Drosophila melanogaster: one gene and its partners. The protein of the gene in region 4 interacts with the protein of the main gene of each other region in a pairwise test. Each region holds a gene or a part of one and is shown on either strand. Other genes may lie near its edges. The genes, in order: CG31008, CG34168, eEF1alpha1 and slou.

The links.
Region 1: the proteins of slou (region 4) and CG31008 interact in a two-hybrid assay, tested with the Drosophila melanogaster proteins (one large-scale study listed by BioGRID).
Region 2: the proteins of slou (region 4) and CG34168 interact in a two-hybrid assay, tested with the Drosophila melanogaster proteins (one large-scale study listed by BioGRID).
Region 3: the proteins of slou (region 4) and eEF1alpha1 interact in a two-hybrid assay, tested with the Drosophila melanogaster proteins (one large-scale study listed by BioGRID).

What each region holds. Positions count from the first base shown.
Region 1 is NT_033777.3:30,988,377-30,991,915, reverse strand, and holds CG31008 (uncharacterized protein), read left to right. Parts: upstream 1-1,909; 5' UTR 1,910-1,999; coding exon 2,000-2,344; 3' UTR 2,345-2,438; downstream 2,439-3,539. Other genes in the region: CG31007 (uncharacterized protein), read left to right, coding at 1-29.
Region 2 is NT_033779.5:16,133,908-16,137,437, forward strand, and holds CG34168 (uncharacterized protein), read right to left. Parts: upstream 1,366-3,530; 5' UTR 1,255-1,365; intron 1,188-1,254; 5' UTR 1,182-1,187; coding exon 999-1,181; 3' UTR 807-998; downstream 1-806.
Region 3 is NT_033778.4:11,888,806-11,896,459, reverse strand, and holds eEF1alpha1 (eukaryotic translation elongation factor 1 alpha 1), read right to left. Parts: upstream 5,326-7,654; 5' UTR 5,216-5,325; intron 5,065-5,215; exon of another isoform or gene 4,995-5,064; intron 4,339-4,994; exon of another isoform or gene 4,276-4,338; intron 3,338-4,275; exon of another isoform or gene 3,265-3,337; intron 2,919-3,264; exon of another isoform or gene 2,906-2,918; 5' UTR 2,886-2,905; coding exon 1,494-2,885; 3' UTR 940-1,493; downstream 1-939. Other genes in the region: MCPH1 (microcephalin), read left to right, coding at 1-335; ERp60 (endoplasmic reticulum p60), read left to right, coding at 5,641-5,789, 7,071-7,511. UniProt on the Drosophila melanogaster protein: This protein promotes the GTP-dependent binding of aminoacyl-tRNA to the A-site of ribosomes during protein biosynthesis.
Region 4 is NT_033777.3:21,553,925-21,559,672, reverse strand, and holds the start of slou (slouch), read left to right. Parts: upstream 1-2,490; 5' UTR 2,491-2,814; coding exon 2,815-4,041; intron 4,042-4,882; coding exon 4,883-5,141; intron 5,142-5,748. UniProt on the Drosophila melanogaster protein: May play a role in specifying the identity of particular somatic muscles and neurons of the CNS.

The DNA of each region.
Region 1 (3,539 bases), 9.4 Mb from region 4:
AGCAGTGTCGGCGGCGCTATAATGTCTGAGATGCTAGGATGGTGACCTCATCCAGATTACAGAAGCAAATCAATGAGATTAATCTAAAGCATACATATATGTACATATGGTATTTAATTTGCAGTTGGCTACCCAAAAATAGACATTTTTTCGGAATAAAATGAAAATTTTTCGCCTTGTCAGACTGGTAGAAACATCCTTTTTGATCGGCGATCGAATTAAAAATTTTTTTTTTTTTCAATTTTTGCAAAAAATGATGATGTATTATAAAAAAGTGAAAATTTGGCAAAAAAATTTTTTTCTCAAAATTTGTAAAAAATTGATTGGGATAGAATGCTTAGAAAAACAAATGAAAAATCAGTGTGTTTCCCGACTTTTGTGGTCGATTTGGTGAAATTAAAACTCAAAATGTCTCCGGAAAGTGGGAAATAGACATGTTACAGTCATTCCTAACCAAATTTTGATATTCCTCCTCAATTGGTGCTATCTATCAATTTCGATTTACACTTTGAGCAATTGCCTTCCATTTTTTACGAGGACTGCGTAGAAAGAGCCTTCGGAGAAGCAAATTAATTGGCGTTATGCGGGCAGCCACCAGCAAGAACGAAGATCCATCCAACTCAACCCAGAGCTCAAGGCCATCCATCTTGCTTGCCGAAACATTATTGATGTTGATTGATTTATAAACAGTGCTGGGAGCGGCGAATCGAGTAGAGAGTTGGGCCGATTAAGTTGTAGCCAAAACAATAAACAAAATTAAATTAGCATCGCGTAGAGTTTTTCTTCACTTTTTCGCAGCTGAAAGTGGCAGCTGCTGTCGTCACATTTATTCACATGGCAGGCGGCTCACAATTTCAGCGAGCAAATATAATTTGCTTAAATATTCATAACAGAGTGAGTGGAAATTGTATAGTGCTGATGAACACGGACCCAGCATTTAAGGGGGAAATTCCCCACTCTCCACTGTGCAACATTAAACACAGCATCAATCAAGCGGCATTTGCAGCGGGTCTGTTTTCGCCTTTCTGCGGTTGGCAATAATTTAATGAAATATTCCGTTTGCCACATGAACTCGCTGCCAAAATTTAGCATATGGGGCACTGCGTAATTCGAATTAGGCCCAAACTTTTGGCAGTTCGGCTAATTGCCGCTGTGTTTTCGCTTCTCCCCCAAAAGCAAAAATAGTCACAACTCTAGCATGCTGCCAGCCAATTAAAGAATTTCCGTTGCACTCGCTAAAAGCAAAGAGGTTTGACTTTGTTGAAAGTCGAAAGCGTTAGTTCTTGCTGTCTGAAATACTCTTCGGGTAAAGCAATTTCCTTTGCGGTTCCACCAGCAACAAAAATCTAAAATCCATTTTGTTAATGTTTTTTGGGATGTTCATTAGGGTCCTTCGCTTAACTCAAAAGGGTGCGAGCGTAGGAAAAATATAAGAGACAAACAAAATTGTTTGAAGTTCAGACCATTTAACAATAAATTAGTATAAATAAGCTTTGTTGTTCAAAAGATTTCAATAGTAGCTCTGAACATTTTGTTCAGTGTATTTTGCGGGCCACATATCCCCACCAGATGAACCCCCCCTCCTTGTTGGAATTTTAAAAGGGAAGCCAGCTGGAGTTGTGTATTTGTATTGCTTTTATACCTCTCGCGTTTGCCGACAAATTCATTATGTGTTCGTAATTAGTGCGGGAAATGGGAAAAGCAAACGCAAAAAGTGAGAAGGGAAAACGAATTAGAATTCCTTTTTTCGTCCTCGCTGCAGGGTTCTGGCCACCAGGTGGCGCTGTTGCATGCACTTAGCAATTAGCTGACAGGGAATGCAATATAAATTAGCTGTCACAGCTGTAAAAGGATTCCCGGAGCAGGCCAGGTGTCTATGAGTAAGCCATCAAAATGGCACATGTGTCATTCGAAATTCTAATCTACCTTTTAAAAGTAAGTCTAATTCTGCTCGGCTTAAAATATACATAAATTTAAAGCCTGGAAAAGGGGAGAAAAGATGCCACGCAAACAGAGAAGTGCTTCGGTCAAAGCAGGCTCTACAAACTATATGCCTGCGGTGGTGCCCACCGTCACGAATTCCGAAATGGTCTTCAAGGAAGCGGCTGCCCACGCAGTGGGCGTGGCAGCAGGATCAGTCGTGGGTCATGCCATCGGATCAGGAATAACGGGGCTATTCAGGCGGCGTGACCAGCAGCCGCACCACAGCGATTTAGTCGAAGAAGGTCCTTGCGCCAAGGAAATGAAGGAGTTCTTGAAGTGCACCGAGGACAATGACGATCTCAGTGTGTGCAAGGAGTTCAACGATGCTGTGCGACGATGCCACCGCCAGTACAATATTTAGGAAGCTAGAAAGGGGAAGGGATTTTAATTTGTCAAATTATAAGACGTTAATGCGCAGCCTTACAAGTAACTCGCAATAAAATTTTAGTTACTAGACTTGCTAATAGTTTAATTATTTTACCCCTGCAGATACAGGGATAATAGTAACCCTATTGCTTCACAGACATTTATTAGAGCTCCGCTGCCATGTCATTGTCACTATAATCTGCGCATTACAGCCCGAAAACCCTTTTCCAATCATTAAATATTCCATTTTGTCCTTGGGTCCAATTTGAATAGACTTCAGCACTTCCAATCAAGTTCAGGCGATGTGGGTGCGCAATTAAAATGCTTTATGACAGGTCCTTCGTCCTTGAGCTTCCCCTGTTTTTTTTTTACCACTTTAAAGCTGCCCCATTGTCACATGCTCGCTGCTCCTTTGGCGCTGTTATTTTTCGTCATTCTCAGTTAATTGTGATTTTGTTTACTGTCATCCTTGCCTCTCCTGGCTCTTCTGGCGCCTGTCGCTCGACCCCTTGTCAGGATCTCGGCTTTGTTTGCCTTTCTACTTTGTCTGTGGATCCGGGCGCATATTTACTTTAATTTTGTTTTGTTATGTTACTTCACCACCGCCCAAAAATGAAACCCCTCCCCACCGATTTCAGCGTTGAACGCGCTTTTCTCCTCGCTTTGAGCGCTTTTGTTTCGCGTTTTCGCGTTTTTCCGTTTTTTTTTTTCGGTGGGCCCCAAACTTTTTCATTTTGTTTTTTTATCTGCTTGGCTTGCGCGCAATTAAGCCAGCGAAATGTTTTTGGCCACGTCAAGGCGACGACGCTGACATTGAGGACCCCAGAGAGAATACCCTTTTTAATTTCGAGCATATTTTCGCAGCACCCAACTCCTCCGGGGAACTCGTACGCATTATACAGTCAAGCCTGCCTAACCTGAAACACTTGGCGGTTATGTCATGTTTTAATAATTGAAGAATGCCATTTCCGCTAAAAGGCAGACGTAAAAATAATACATTCGTTGAAGCATTCCACAGCAATAATTGCAAATGGAACGAATACTGTCTTAGAACTAAGCTTTTAAATTCGTGTTTTATATCTATAAAAATAGACACATAGCTGTCATTAAATTCTCTAAAGTTGTTAAAGTTTTGAGCCAATTGCCTCTTCTTTTTTACGAGTCTAACCAAATTGCACTCAAGGAAGCTG
Region 2 (3,530 bases), on a different chromosome or scaffold from region 4:
GCCGTCGGCGATGTCAAAGCTCAAGATTCGGAGCAAACCGATACAGGTGGCGATGGCATGAACGTGGGTCAGAAACATGATGATGACATCGGCAATACCACTTGTCCCTGGGTGAAAATGGAGCACGCACTGGAGCAGCAGAAGCTAAAGGAGCCGATGTCTGTGGAGCAACCGAATAAGAAAGAACCGTCCGAGGTAAAGAGCCAAATCTACATACCACCTGCTCTCCGCCAGAGCCAAGGTGACTTCAATCGACGGGATCAGGCTGAGAGCCGTCTGCGTAAGGTTCCATCCAAGATGTCCGGAAAACCTCAAGCTCCTGATCTCAACAGTGACGAGTATTTCCCCAGTCTTAGCAAAGCACTCAAACGCACCAAGTAGCCGTATCACGATGATATACTCTTTAAACTTACCGTTTCTGTTGTTCACTATGTTTAACGATATCAATTTTTCTGGTCGATCTGATGCGGGGTGCCTCGATTAAATAAAATTGAAAGCAATCAGCAAGCCCATCTGTTTTAGTGGTGTTTTACTCGTAAACAAATTTGCACTCAACAGGCCCATTAGCATTACACGTCTTTTTGGCTGGTCCCCGATGTATCGTTAGCCGTAAACGAGCCAAATATTTACAATCAAATGGGGTTTAGCCTTAAATGCACCCGGCGGACTGAAAAGAAAACCAAAAACGGCAAATTACGAGATGGAATTTTGTGATTGTTTCCACAGAATGCATGCCAAATATTTAATTAGGTTTGCTAACTGTTGATAGCAATACATGTGAAGTGAAATTAAAGTGGTCTATTTTTGAATTATACGTATAATTTATTAACATCTATTTCTGATGGCATAATCTTTCATCGAACACAAATCTTTGGATCCACTTTGCCTGACAACTTTTCAGCGTGGCTCCTCATCTTCGACAAGGCCTCACGGCTGCAATCTTTAAAGCTCCTGTTCCAGATCGCGGATAAAGAAACCCTACATTCCTTCTAAGCAGGCTAACAATGTCCACCATACGGCCCGTAGCATGAGCAGCAACCATATGGGCCACAAGGACCGCAACAGTGGTTGACCGAACGGAACCACTGGCCATTGTAGGGTCCGCAGAGCAGGCAGGGTCCCAGTCCGCCAGTCGGTCCACAGCAAGTGCCGGGCATCGAGCACATTCCTGGATTGCACATTTTATTCTGAAAACGAAATGAAACGAATCGAGGATATTTTCAAGAAACAAATTCGTTTGTTGTTCACACTCACATTAGCCTGATTACGGAAGTAGGATTTTCAGTCCTAGAAATTTGGTAGTCGTACAAATAGATGTTTTCTGTTGGAGAACCGAAACTATAATGAGCTAAAGCCACTAGCTTGGTCCACAAAGTTCTACAGATTTAACTTTGATTTCATGGCCTTCTATGTTGTGGTTTCATGGCCTGCTTTTAAAATGCTTTTTTCCAAATTTTAAAATTTGATTAACTATATATACAGTTAGCCTCTTAGCCTCTTATCTAATTCGCTTTAAGAATTTTAATTCATAAAACCGTTCCCGATTGTTTGTGTGTCCCATAAAATTCCACTCCATTGCTCCTCCAAAAATACTTCAGTCCGTCCCGAAGGACTTCCCATTCCCCTAAAACTCTCGATGTCATAATTTAGCCGAAGGCGCAACAAGTCGGAAAAGCCAAGCCGCGACTGATTTTTCCTCTTTGCCCCACCTTTCATTGTTTTACCAAGAGCAGAGTTTTCTTAAGCATTTTGTGTTGGGCAATGCACACAAACCTATTTTTCTTCACAGCCGGGATTCCGTCTTCTTGTTTACGGACAACAGAGCCGGGATTCGCAGTCAAAGTGAAGTAAAGTCACTTGACAAGTTTTGTCACGTGCGTCACATGTTGGAATGTCCCCCAGCCACCCAGGCCACCCACTTTTCCGACTCTACCCATATTTCCACTCTGGCTTCTGAGCATTTGGAAGCAATTTTCCAGGCATGCCTTGCCGCTTCTGTCGTTGTCGTCATTTCATTGTTTCAAAATTGTTGCTCATGTTGTTTCTGTTGTTGACCTGGTTCTCTGTTTTCTTTTCTTTTTTTTTTGCCACGTTTCTTGGTTACCAACCGGTCTGCTTCAACTGAAAAGAGCTCTTGCTGGCGTAAATGTGTTTGTGATTATTTAGTTATGGCATCTAATTGAGTTTGGTGTTTGTTTGGCTGGCGCGGGAGTGTGCAAAGTGTGCTTATGCAATAGCTAATTGAGTCGATTACCCCAACACTTTTCACGTTTTCACCCAAATAAGCTGTAAGGCTGAGTGTAAATTAATCCATCTCGAAGTTCCTAATTTTTATGAGTTTAAGAAAATAAGTAAAAAAAACTCTGAAGGATGAAGAATTCTGTACATTTTACAAGTTTATTTACTTATAAAGCTCATGTACATCGATTTTCCAACATCACTATCTCATCTATTACTTAATCGAATTAAATGAAGGAAAGGCCAAGAAAATTTGATCGGATTAACTTCTTATCTTTTACCAACATTAAATTAAAGCACTTCCGCCCTTCGTAAATAGCCCGTTCGTTTGGTGGCCTTTTGGGTCTGGTTGAGCTTATTTTCTGTTCCGATTCCGGAACCCCGAATACCCCGGGAAAATTCCCGTATCCCCTTCCGTAACCAAACATCATCTCCATCGCGTGTTGGTCTCGTATTACAGCATTGCATATTCGCAGGCGCGTGCGCTCCCATTCGATTTGAACTCCATGGCGACTTTAAGGAAAATGCATCGAAGAGCCGAATATGTTGTGACTGTGAAGCTTAATGTTTCGTGTTGATGTGACTTTTTTCCACTGTTTTTTTCCGGCTTCTTCGCTGGTATTTTTACAGTTTTCAGCAATGCCTTTTTCAGCCCGCTCAGAAGTTCAATGTCCCCCATTTTATGAGCGTCCGTGCAGCGGAAGTTTTGGAGCGATAAGTTTTTGGTTCCGTTCTTATGTTTTTGATTTATTTGTTTGTAACTCACAGCTTAAAAGCGGAAGAAAACTCCATTAAAATGTTTAATCATAACTAATAATGCATAATTGCACAATAAATTTTAAAATATACATACATATGAGGAAAGCTACAAGTGCTCACATAGATTCTACATAGTCAAATAGAAAACTTTATTTAATTTAAAACCATAAAATATTAATTATTCATTTATGTAACTTATAAATAAAAATTAAACTTAATACACAATCTGTACTCTTTAAAATATAATTATTACTATCGACAACAAAGGAAATTTTCGGGTAGTAAAAATAGATTTCTGATTAATAAATTGGCAAAATACCTTCAAAGGAAGTCTGTTGTGGTCACTTGCCTGTCTGAATAATCCAGCGATGGGGACTTTTATTGACGAAGCACTTGCAGTCAGGCGCAGTGGAAATGGATGCTGTCTGACTTTGTTAGTGATTCAGTGAATCAGGATACCATATCTATATCTACAGCAGTCCGTGCATCGGCATCAACAACATGATTATCGTTGTGTGGGCGAGTCAAGTGAA
Region 3 (7,654 bases), on a different chromosome or scaffold from region 4:
ATGTGTCCTCCCTCTGCCGACCGGTGCAGTTCAACAATATGAAGGAGCTGCTCCTGCTGGGCGGTGCCACCCTGACCGAGAACCGCTTCAAGGCCAAGTACATCATCGGGGACAAGCGGCGCGCCGAGGACGATCGCGTCTATCTCGATCCTTACTGGGTGCTGGACAGCATCACGAATATGCAAATTCAGCGCTTTGGCAAATATCTTATGAAGAGCGCCATTATCTCGGCCGATGGGATCCGGTACGAGGATCCTAGGGATCGCGATGAGGACAAAACACAAAGAAGGCACCTTCACGACTTCGTCGATCCACCGTTTGTGCTGGACAAATAGAGATCAGTGGGTGCATCCACTTCACTTTACTAAATATTTAAGCTAGGACACACAGAGTACCATTTTCCCACACTGTTTCACCTTTTTGTGCAAATTACTCCAATGTAAATATAGTTATATTTAAATCCATATATGTATTTTACGATCTTAGTTTATTTTCTAGTACATTTTTTAATTTGTTTTTATACAGATTTTACGAAGGAAATAATATATCCCATAACTTTAAACAGAAATTATAAAAAAACACTTGTTCCAACTTCGTTCGTTATTATTTAAATAAATAAATCAATGCATTTTTCTCTATTTGCGATGAGAAATAAAAGCCCCCCCCCCCCCCTCAAATACAATAAAAAATATTCATTATTCTTCAGATGCAATTGCTTGCTTTATTTAAACGATTGAGGTATTTGTTGTCAGATTCAATTGTTGTACTCTTCGACTAGCTCTTGTTTGTACTTTGTGGCATCGACGATAAGTGAACTTGGAGTTAGGGACGATCGATCATGGCGCTGAAAATCGGGAGGCAACAAGCAAAGAGAGTGCTCTTTTACGGGCTGGGTGGTAAAAACAAAAGAAATACAAAAATAGGGTTTTTATTTTTTTTGTAAATATAGTTATCGCTTCTATTCTGGTTCTTTTCTTGTGTACAAAGTAGTGTGTGCAAAAGTAGGGTAAGATAAATGATACATATCAAAGTATAAAGGTTAATTTAAACGATATCATAAATGCTACAGAGGATTCCTATATATGATATGATAAAACGAAGTCAACTCCGTGCATCATACCATATTTAGTAAACTAAAGATCGACGGGGAAGTGGATGAGGAGTGGATGCATAAATGCAAGTGTTTTCCCAGTGTGCACTCTTATCCTTGGGATCCACCGTTTCCCAATTTAGGCGGCCTCGTCTGCATTTAGCATTCGTATCCGTCGAAACTCCTTTCGATGGAAGAAATTAAACTTATGCTTCTGCTGAAACATCATCTTATCGGTCATCTTGCGCAGGACAGGTGTTGGTGTTATACTACTATTGTGTTCGCTGCTGCTGTTGCTGGTATTATTGAGTGGTGTTGTTGGCTGCATTATGATGTTGGTTATATGCTTGTTGTTGCTGCTACTACTGCGTGTTGTTGTTGTTGTTGAGTGGAAGCAAACCAGCTACTTCTTGCCCTTGGTGGCCTTCTCGGCGGCCTTGGTGACCTTGCCACCGGAGGCATCCTTGAAGTTGACAGCCTTAATGACACCGACAGCCACGGTCTGCCTCATGTCACGCACAGCGAAGCGACCCAGAGGGGGGAACTCCTGGAAGGCCTCCACGCACAGGGGCTTAGAGGGCACCAGGTTGACGATGGCAGCATCGCCAGACTTGATGAACTTGGGGTTCTCCTCGGTGGTCTTGCCGGAACGACGGTCGACCTTCTCCTTGATCTCAGCGAACTTGCAAGCAATGTGAGCGGTGTGGCAATCCAACACGGGGGTGTAGCCGTTGGCAATCTGACCGGGGTGGTTCAGCACGATGACCTGGGCGGTGAAGTCGGCGGCTCCCTTGGGGGGGTTAGCCTTGGAGTCACCGGCAACGTAGCCACGACGCAGCTCCTTCACGGACACGTTCTTGACGTTGAAGCCAACGTTGTCTCCGGGAACGGCCTCCTGCAGGGCCTCGTGGTGCATCTCCACGGACTTGACCTCAGTGGTGATGTTAGCAGGGGCGAAGACCACAACGGTACCGGGCTTCAGCACACCAGTCTCCACACGACCCACGGGTACTGTTCCAATACCGCCAATTTTGTACACATCCTGCAGGGGCAGACGCAGGGCCTTGTCGGTGGGACGGGCTGGGGGAAGGATGGCATCGAGGGCATCGATCAGGGTCTTGCCGTCAGCGTTACCCTCCTTGCGCTCCACCTTCCATCCCTTGAACCAGGGCATGTTGGTAGAGGGTTCCAACATGTTGTCGCCGTGCCATCCGGAAATGGGCACGAAGGCAACGGCGGCTGGGTTGTAGCCGATCTTCTTGATGTAAGAGGACACTTCCTTCTTGATTTCCTCATAACGGGCCTCGCTGTATGGTGGCTCGGAGGAGTCCATCTTGTTCACACCAACGATCAGCTGCTTCACACCCAGGGTGAAGGCGAGCAGGGCGTGCTCGCGGGTCTGGCCGTTCTTCGAGATACCTGCCTCGAATTCTCCGGTTCCGGCGGCGACAATCAGCACGGCGCAATCGGCCTGCGAGGTACCAGTGATCATGTTCTTGATGAAATCCCTGTGTCCGGGGGCATCAATGATGGTCACGTAGTACTTGGCAGTTTCGAACTTCCACAGGGCGATATCGATGGTGATACCACGCTCGCGCTCAGCCTTCAACTTATCCAAAACCCAGGCGTACTTGAAGGATCCCTTTCCCATCTCCTGGGCCTCCTTCTCGAACTTCTCGATGGTACGCTTGTCGATACCACCGCACTTGTAGATCAAGTGTCCGGTGGTGGTCGACTTACCGGAATCGACGTGTCCGATCACGACAATGTTAATGTGAATCTTTTCCTTGCCCATGTTGGATGATTACACTATGGCTGTTGTGTGTATTCGAGTGTTGGATTGACGGAACGTTGGAACATTGGAAGGTTGCAGGGTTCGGCGGGTTGGCGAGCAAGAGAGGTTGGAATAAACAAAGGGTAAAACAATTCGTTAGCATTCGGTGGGATTACAACTACAATTATTAGTGGGTATAACACTTTCTCATTTCCCTAGCGTACGTTCGACTTTTGTTTGCATGCGCGAGCACAACCTAACCTCAAACTCTTGCAGCCGTACAAAACGTGTTTTTTGAGGTTAGGTCCAGTGCCCGCATGTAAGGGTGTGGGTAAAACGAGTGGGGCGCAACTACAGAAAAGAGCGTGCAAATAAAATTCCATATGGAAACTCGATTTTGTTTCAGTGATTTTGGTATTTTTGCTTTCGTCAACTGTCTTCAGTAGCAGAACTGAAAAATCATCATCATGTTAAATCGAAGAGTCCAAAGGAAAATTCCAGCAAATTTAATTCGCAAATACACATGTGCTTATCTGCCTATGCGTGTGTATATCTATGCCTGTGTATTTGTGTGACGCTGTTGCCGGCCGGAGGAAAAGTAAGAGAGGAATAGAGAGAGAGAGAGACCAAAATGGCGGATGTGCATTAGTGTGCGTGTGTGACTTGTACAAATGCAAGCGATCTCGCCGCGGTGGCACAATTGGTAATTGGAAAGAAATGAAAAAGAGAGGGGCACACAACGAATTATTCAAGAACGTAGTGCAGCGGCAGCCATTTTACCAAAACCAATTATGGAGTCGGTTGGAAATGGCGAAATAGCTGATGCGAGTGCCATTTCACCAGATATGCTAATGGGCTGGAAACCCAAAAAAGCACATTTTTTCGCTTGTTGCCAGGCGAATTTTTTTCGCCCACTTGACTCACGCCACTGGGTCGCCATTTTAGAATTCCATGCCGCAAAAAGAAAGAATAAGGAATATCTATAGGTCATGACAAAGGCAAGAGAGAAAGCACGTTTTTTTTTCTCGGTTAATGAGCACATCTGGTGGATGACCTCTGTGTCCGGCGTGGGCGTGGCAAAGTAATTACACACTAAGTGCACCATATTGCAGGGCGAAAATGCGGCCGGAAAAGCCGGAAAATTATTTTGAGAATGCTGGGAACTTTAACTGGGAACGCCAGTTAAAATTTTTGCCTTTGCAGACTTGCCACGTGTTTGCTTCTATGGCCACCTTTCACTTTGGAAAACCGCAGTTAGAGGTTATCTCCGGGTTTATTACACACACACAGGAAAAACACTGGAAATATGCACAAATTCGGCGTCTCAGCTGCATATTTGTTTATAAATTGTTTTCTGGCTGCAGTCCCGTTGCAGAAATTACTTAATTATAGCCTCGCAGGTAAAACTTACTCTCGAATAAGCTGAATGAGAAATCACGAAGTCTAAGCGGCGACGGATTCGAACAAAGTGAACGAGCGTTCGGCAGAGCTCAGCACAGGAAGCCTCGTTTGACACATGGTGTGACCGAAGCTACGCAACTGTCAAAAGAGCAGAAACCGTGTTCTCACTGCGGTGTTTCCACTACGCGCGAATGAAGCACTTCATTTTATTGAAATTTAAGTGATTGAAAGTGGCAAAATACAATAACCTAACGATTGAGGGATTTAAAAAACCTTGTTTGCTCGACATTGTTTTTATATGAAAAACTAAATAATCAGTGATTCCAAAAATATTTTCTACAAAACGATGTCTATAATTTCTATACGTAATATTGGAACACATATCTCTTAATATTTAAAAACTATAACAATTGCATTAGTAGTCCGCATTTTGAACTTTTAGACTAGAACCTGAACTTTAATTTGTATGTGAACCCTAACGTAATAGAACTTTAAATAACAATAGAAGCTTGAGATCGTTTAAATTTATGTAATACGTTTCATTTATTTATACATTTTTTGGCGTCCGTTGCTACAACTAAAATATGCTACAAATAAAACTATAAGTAATTTGGTATTGTATCAATTTATACAATATTGTAAAAATTTATAACTTAAGATCTCACGTTTTAATACTTTTTCTTCTGGAATTCATCAGAATGCTAATATTTATTTGAATTTGTAACTTACTGCTTAATATTTTTTGTTAGACTATTTTTTCACTCAGTTTTCACTTGTACTCAATAAATTTATTCATTGTGCATAGAACAAAAGTTGTTAGCCTGCCCCTTATATAGGACGCAATTAAAAGTTCCTAAGTGTTTTCCTAATTTTGTGAAATTAATTAATTAGTTATTAATAATATGATTATTGTTATGCTTGCGAAATCAGTTAACAATAAATGCAATTACCATCTTTTATGAAATGATAATTTGACAAAATTTTATTATAAATCGGTATCAATTAAATTAATTTAAATCTAGATCTCAACTTTTCTGTGTGACTGGAAAGAATTATAGCTAAAGCATTTAAAACCCACACATATAGACATTAGTCATTAATAAATGATGAGCCATCTTTATTTATTGTTTACATATGCAGGAAAGCTCACAACTGAGAGCTTTTTCCAACTTTAGACATTTTCGGCCTAGCCCCACCTGGCCACACTACGACGAAACAGAATAAGAAGCGACGTGGCGAAAGAGGCAAAAAGCGAATTCAATCGTTGAAAAATACCGAACCGGTCCGGTACTCAGTTTTTGTTGTAGAAGTAGGCGTTCGACGGCCTAGTTGAACTTGAATTATTCACCGATATCGCTTCAAGTGAACCCAAATAATGATGTGGCGCCTTGCTGGAGTGCTCCTACTAGGCTTCATCGCCATCTCGTCCGGAGCGGAGCAGGATGTCCTGGAACTGGGGGACGACGACTTTGCCACCACCCTAAAACAACACGAGACGACGCTGGTCATGTTCTACGCCCCCTGGTGAGTTAGTGAGTGGGCGTGGCCGGGCGCCATCCTACAACAAATGCATTGCGTGTGCGATTCGCGTATAATCCGCTTGTTGCGTCCGCAACTTAATTCGATTCCCAATGCCCAGTGCCGACCGATGCCCGATTTTCCGGCCATCGCAAGCGCAAAGTACACGTCAGCGTTTGCCTTGCTTTTGCCGGCAAATAAAGAAGGAACGAGTGACGGAACGAAACGAGACGCAAAGAGAGGGGCAATGATGATATGCCAGTATTGGTGCCGTCGGCCATTTTAGAGCGCGGGGTGCCAAAGTGCCTAGTTGGTACAATTTCCGTGCAATTCCTGCTCCACTTGTCCACTGGCTAATGATAGTGAGCAGGCATAGGGGCCCCAGTGTACATAGCGCATCTTTTATTATAGTTTCTTATGCCTATGCATTATACCCATAATCCCAGGAATGTGTAATTCTAAGGGTTAACTTAGATTTAGCTTGAAACTGGTTATCATAGTCTGAAACACTCACAGTTCTCATACAAATGTAATTTCCCAACAGTTTACACCAACCATATTAAAACTTCAATTTTAATTGCCTGCCTACTCACAAAAGTTATGCTGATTGTGCTATAAATTTCTCATGTCAGTAGACACATTTTTAACTTCCATCGTAATCCACACTGAACACAATAACCTTTTAATACATTTTTGTTTAGTACATAACACATATTTACTGTGCCTATTTACTCTCTTTTGAGCCATTTGTTTGCCCATTATCAGGGGTAAACTATAAGCTCACACTTGGACAATGAACTAGGTAAATTATTAGCGTTTTTTTTGCCGGCCGGCTTTCGAAATCCCCAAAGAGCTGTTGAACTACTTGGCATGGAGACTTGATTCCCTCATGACGAACCTTATCAGTATTCAAGCATAAATACACAGGGATGAAGTTGAAAAAGTTGTACACTGCAATAAAACTGCTCTTTTCATTATAACATAGTTAACTTAAGGCATCACTTATCTTTATCAAAAATGAATTATTATCTGCACTGCTAAGAGTGCAGACTATACTCTGCTGTTTCAAATAAGTACCAAGTCGTTTTTCTCTCTGTATGCCTAATGGGCACTTGTACTTGTGTGATAAGACAGTTGATAATTCCAGCACCCTTACTTTAATTACAAGCTAGTTTTTTGGGAACTTGTCTTCCCGTTGCCTTGATAACAAATGATGAATTAGATAGTATTGTTACCAACATAATGTTTAAGTGACGTGTCCTAACAGAGTGTTTTTTCCTGTTTAAGGTGCGGCCACTGCAAGCGATTGAAGCCCGAGTACGCCAAGGCGGCGGAGATCGTGAAAGACGATGATCCGCCAATCAAACTGGCCAAGGTTGACTGTACGGAAGCTGGAAAGGAAACGTGTAGCAAGTACTCCGTCAGCGGCTACCCAACGTTGAAGATTTTCCGTCAGGATGAGGTGTCGCAGGACTACAATGGACCACGCGAAGCCAGCGGCATTGCCAAGTACATGCGCGCCCAAGTGGGACCCGCCTCCAAGACCGTGCGCACCGTTGCCGAGCTGAAAAAGTTCCTGGACACCAAGGACACCACGCTGTTCGGCTACTTCAGCGACAGCGACTCCAAACTGGCCAAGATTTTCCTGAAGTTCGCCGATAAGAACCGCGAAAAGTACCGCTTCGGACATTCAAGCGAAAAGGAAGTCCTCGATAAGCAGGGCGAAACGTAAGTGGGAGGCTCTAATCAAGACTCGTACATCTGTGTATTATGTGTTTTTCGTTTTATATATTTTCTAAGTGTTAATAAACTAGAGCCTAGTTGGGATTTTCATATTTGTTTAAATGTAATGAAAGGTTCATCCATTTCAT
Region 4 (5,748 bases):
AATTAGTCAAACAAATTAACGTGGGGCTTACGGCGAGTGGAGTGCAAACAACAAAATGGCCGAATAAACAGAGCTAGCAATGAAGTGTGCGGGTGGGAGCAGAGGAGCAATGCGAAAGTGGAGGCCATCTCTCTCACACTTCATTAAATATACAAATACAACGGGATAGGGCTTAGGGCAGACGGCTGGCAAAACTAAGGGAAATCCTATAAATAAATTGGCAATAATTTAATTATCGCATAATTATGCAGATGACCGCGCACTTGTGCTTTTAATTGCCTTTTGTCGCGAGGTCAGCGGCTCATATTATCAGCCTATCGATTTTCCGATTTTCCCCATCGCTCTGCTAGCCTTTTATTTGCCTTTTAATTAGTTGTAAATCTTGCACAGCCTGTTGAAAGCCAACGGGAAAAGCAAACAGGAAAAGGGGCGGGCGGCCGCCATTGCATGCACTATTTATTTTAACAAGAGCTGCTCATTTAATACTTATTTTCACTAATTAAATGGAAGAGTAAGTACATCAGATAGTGAGCGAGAGAGGCAGAGAGAGAGCGAGAAAGGGAGACAGCGAGAGTGAGAGGGAGAGAAGGCCACATGCGACAGCAAGAGCAATTTTCCGCTTTTCCGCAGCGCCAAAAGTTTGATGTCTATGTAAACAGCGGCTTTCGTGTGTGCGTCTGGCGAACTGCCAATTTTGCCGGCCCACTCACACACTCACACTTATGCATACATGCACACATACATATGTATGTATATGGACATTCTATAGCGTGTTCCGTATACGTCGGCTGTTTGAGCGCACTTAAATAATGAATAATGACGAGACAAGCAATTAAAATAATTTGCGGTTTTACCGTGCGTATGCGCATCATTTAATTTTGCATGTAAAGAGTTAAGCACTTATTACACAGCGAGAAACGGGCCCAGCCAAAGGATGATGTCCCACTGTCGTGGATGAGCAACCGAGTGTGATAATGCGCTGAGTGCGGAGTATAGTATATACGAGATTCCGCCATCAATGGGCCAATTAAAATGAGTGCCCGACGCTCTGGTGTTGGTGGCCAGCATCTTAAAACTAATTAAAACGAAAAACGGCATAACAAGCTGCTCATTAAGCATCCGAGTTCCCTTCGCCACCCCGATCTGCGGTTAATTATAGAAGGAAGAAGACGAGCCTTGCTAACGAGCGGCGAAGTGAAGCCAGTGGATATATAGAAGCAGTAGCTAACACCCAACATTCCAGCGTTGGAGTTCATTAAGCAGCGCCCGGTGTCCATTTAACGATGTCACTTATACGCCCCATTGTCCCCACAACCAAAAACGAATCAGAAGAAAAACCCCCAGAGCCGAGTGGCCTATCCCCAGTGAACCAGGCATCCAGCTATCCATTCATTCACCCCTCGACCACCCAGCCCGCCCCACTGAAGGCCACTGCTGCGATGCGTATAAACCGCAAATTGGATGCGATATTAAATCGTCTGTGCCAAAGCGCATATAAATTTTTGTTCAATTTTAAAGAATTTTCCGAGAGCGAGCAGGCGCAGGAGTAAGAGAGAAAGAAGCCCGACGAAAGAGAGAGAGAGAGAGTGCGAGCAGAAGAGCACGGCTATAGTGTGGCTGTCCCCCTCGAACGCTTTGAGTTTTACATAGGAAGTGTCAAGGAGAAAAACCACAAGGATGTGTTTTTTTTTCGTTCGAATAATAAAAGAGAAAGAAATCAAAAGCGAAAAGTAAATAAACCAACTAATTAGCAACATAATTACGGCCACGAAAATATTCAAAAATTCAATTAAGCTGAAGAAAGCACAAAGCATTCATGCATAAATGACTAAGAACAAACCAGGCATGCCAAAAGCAAAGCAAACTCAACACACAACTGGCGAAAATATGAAACAGAAAAACATATAGTACAAATAAATAAAAACAAGAACTGAGAGAAATGTGCAAAAAGTTGAGATCCATTTCGCAAGCACCCAACCGCATAAACAAACAAATTTTGCGCTAAATAATTTGACAATTACTCACATCCTCGGGAGGCGAAGGCTGCACGGATGGCTGGACAGCTGGCTGGCTAGCTGCGTGGCTGTATGGCTGGCCTTTGTTTCCATCGGGTGGCTATTACAGTTGAGTGAAGAACTATGTAAAACAGCACTCCGGAATCCTCTCCTCTCCTCTCCTCTCCTCTTCTCACGCGCTCGCATCCTGCCGCTCTGTGGCTTAGACTTGCGACAGACCATTACATTTGCTAACGAGTGGAAGGCAAATTAAATCATTAGATGCTAGTAGAGATTAGAGCCACGGCGGGGAGGAGCCAATCCACTCAAAGAACCACTCAGCGGTGGGCGTGTAGAGCGCCGCACAGAGAGTCACTCAAAGCAAAAACCACCACCATACCACGATAACTGCCTCCACCACCACCACCACCACCACCATAACCAGCACTACCACCAGAAGCAGAAGCAGCAGCAGCAGCAGCATCAGCATTTAGCTATTGACTTGCCACAGGCACACAACACGGCACATCTGTTGGATTAAGAACTCGGAGAAATCGGAAACAACCCTCATCATTACGCTTCTGGCTCTTGAGCGTGTGAGTCGTCGCGCGCGGATTACGACCAGGATAATCGGACGTCGGACGACGACGGCAGCAGCGGCAGCATAGGCAGCGTCCACGTCGGATATTGGCATCTCCGGATTCAGTCGATTGGCTGCCCTCAAGGTGACAAGACACGCAACGCGCAGTGAACACTCAGTGAACTCGAACTCTCAGTGAACGCCCAGTGAATCCAAGACAATATATCCAAAGACCCAAAAATGGTCATGTTGCAATCGCCGGCGCAAAAGGCCAGCGATAGTGCGTCAGCCCAAAACACAGCCGTCGGTGGCCTGATGAGTCCCAACTCGAACCCGGACTCGCCCAAGTCCAACACCTCGCCGGATGTGGCGAGTGCGGACAGTGTGGTGTCCGGCACAGGCGGTGGCAGCACTCCGCCAGCGGCCAAGATACCCAAGTTCATCATCAGCGCCAATGGCGCAGCGGTGGCGGGAAAACAGGAGCAGGAGCTGAGGTACTCCCTCGAACGGCTCAAGCAGATGAGCAGTGAATCGGGCAGCTTGCTCAGCCGCTTGAGCCCCTTGCAGGAGGACTCCCAGGATAAGGAGAAGCCCAATCACAACAACAATAACAGTCTAACTAATCACAATGCAAACAGCAATACACGTCGCTCGCAATCCCCTCCAGCATCGGTGGGATCCGTAAGCTTCTCCTCGCCAGCCCAGCAGCGAAAGCTCCTGGAACTGAATGCTGTGCGCCACTTGGCAAGGCCGGAGCCACTGCAGCATCCTCATGCGGCCCTGCTGCAGCAGCATCCCCACTTGCTGCAGAATCCGCAGTTCCTGGCCGCCGCCCAGCAGCACATGCACCATCATCAGCATCAGCATCACCAGCATCCCGCACATCCGCATTCGCATCAGCATCCGCATCCACACCCTCATCCGCATCCCCATCCGCATCCGTCGGCGGTCTTTCATTTGAGGGCTCCCAGCAGCAGCAGCACTGCCCCACCCTCGCCGGCCACCTCGCCCCTGTCGCCGCCCACATCCCCGGCCATGCATTCCGACCAGCAGATGAGTCCACCCATCGCTCCCCCCCAAAATCCGCCACATTCCTCGCAGCCACCACAACAGCAGCAGGTTGCCGCACCATCGGACATGGATCTCGAGCGGATTAAGCTGGTGGCTGCGGTGGCAGCCCGCACCACTCAAGCTTCCAGCACCTCCGCCTTGGCGTCCGCCTCGAACTCCGTGTCCAATGCCAGCATCTCCATCTCCAACTCCAGCTCCGGATCGCCCAGTGGACGCGACTTGAGCGACTACGGATTCCGAATACAGCTGGGTGGCCTGGCGGCGGCGGCAGCTGCTGCGGCGGCCACCTCGCGTCAAATTGCAGCAGCCACATACGCGAGGAGCGACACCAGCGAGGAGCTCAACGTCGATGGCAACGACGAGGACAGCAACGATGGATCGCACAGCACGCCGTCGGTAAGATAACTAGATTTCAGTGCACTAAGTGCAAGGATTTCGTAAAATCATATAGAAAAAGTTTAGATTAAATGTTTTGTGATTTTAATATTAAGGTGTGCCAATTATACAAAATGGATTTATTAAAATACTGGTTCTAAAATGAAGGCTGTTAGTGAAAATTTGAAAACTTAAATAGCAAATTTATTATTAATGTTGATATTTATTGCCCACACAATTGGTAGCTTTTATTAGCGTTGGCTAATACAAATTGATTTTATGTTCTGCTCAATTAGCTTTTTTATTAGATTTTGCGTTCGAGTAATTAACCCAATTAACACTTGGTCGAGAAAATATGCCAAAATTAACCTTTTTGTATGTTTATAGCTCGATTTTGAGATTTTCATTTTGTTTTTAAGCGTGTGGTATGTTGAGGAATTTGATTTATATCTATAGATTTTTATTTATAATTGGTATACTTTTCCAAATATATTTTTTATATTTTAGTTTAACTAAATTATATCACCTAGGACAACTAAGGTACACAAATTTTAAGTAGTTTACCAGTCGGTGATTAAGGTATTCCTTTCAACACTCAATTTAAAAACTTACCAAGAAAAGGCAACTGGTTCTTAATTAAAGCTGTTATCGAAATAATTATTTGACTCATTTTTGCAACAAACCATCTTTACAAGGTAGAAAATTATTCAAAACAATTAGTTTTTAAGATCAGTTTGGCAATTAAACGTAGGATTTATTCAATGCAAAGTGGTGAATATTGCTAGCAAATAAAGAGCAATAATTGCTGTCAATGAATTCATTACTTAATTCTATATCCCTACTTTCCCCTATATCCTTGTAGGTCTGCCCAGTGGATCTGACGCGATCGGTGAACAGCAGTGCTGCGGCGAATCCGAGTTCGGCCTCCACGAGTGCCTCCAGTGATCGAGATGCGGCCACAAAGCGGCTGGCCTTCTCCGTAGAGAACATACTGGATCCGAACAAGTTCACGGGCAACAAGCTGCCAAGTGGTCCTTTCGGCCATCCCAGGCAGTGGAGCTACGAGAGGGACGAGGAAATGCAGGAGCGATTGGATGACGATCAGAGCGAGGATATGTCTGGTGAGTGGGGATATTTATTACTCAACTGACTTAGACCCCGGCCCCACACCCAATGAGTCCGCAATCACTTTGATGGTTAGCTGTCTGATTTGATTGAAATCGGGGGAAATTCAGGACACACCAACCAGGCACGTTCCCCCGAGTGTCTCTGTGCAACACTCCGTGCTCGAGTACACGGGCAATGAAAGGGGATGGGCAGGACACCTGCAAACAGCTCGACTTCCCATCCGCATCTTCTGTTTTTTCTGTGCCCGGGATTCCTGTGGGTGGTTGAAGGCACATGTTATATTTATACTGCTGCTTGTATCGTTTTTGGGTATGTTTTGATTTTGAATTTGGCTTTCCGTTTTGCCAGCAGCACCCTCGAAATCTGGGACTCTGCCATTTCGAAGGCCCTGGGATTTTTCGTGTTGCCTGCTTTCCGGCGCAAGTCACGTACATATGTAGGTGCGGATGTGTGTTGATGCTTGTGTGTTGTGGTGTGTTTATGTTAGCAATGAAAGCATTTATATTTTGCGTGTATTCAATGGCAAACAAATGCGCAAATGCCAGAGCAATCAAAAAAAAATACAAAAATCTCCGATTTGGGAGGCTGGCACTCTTCGTT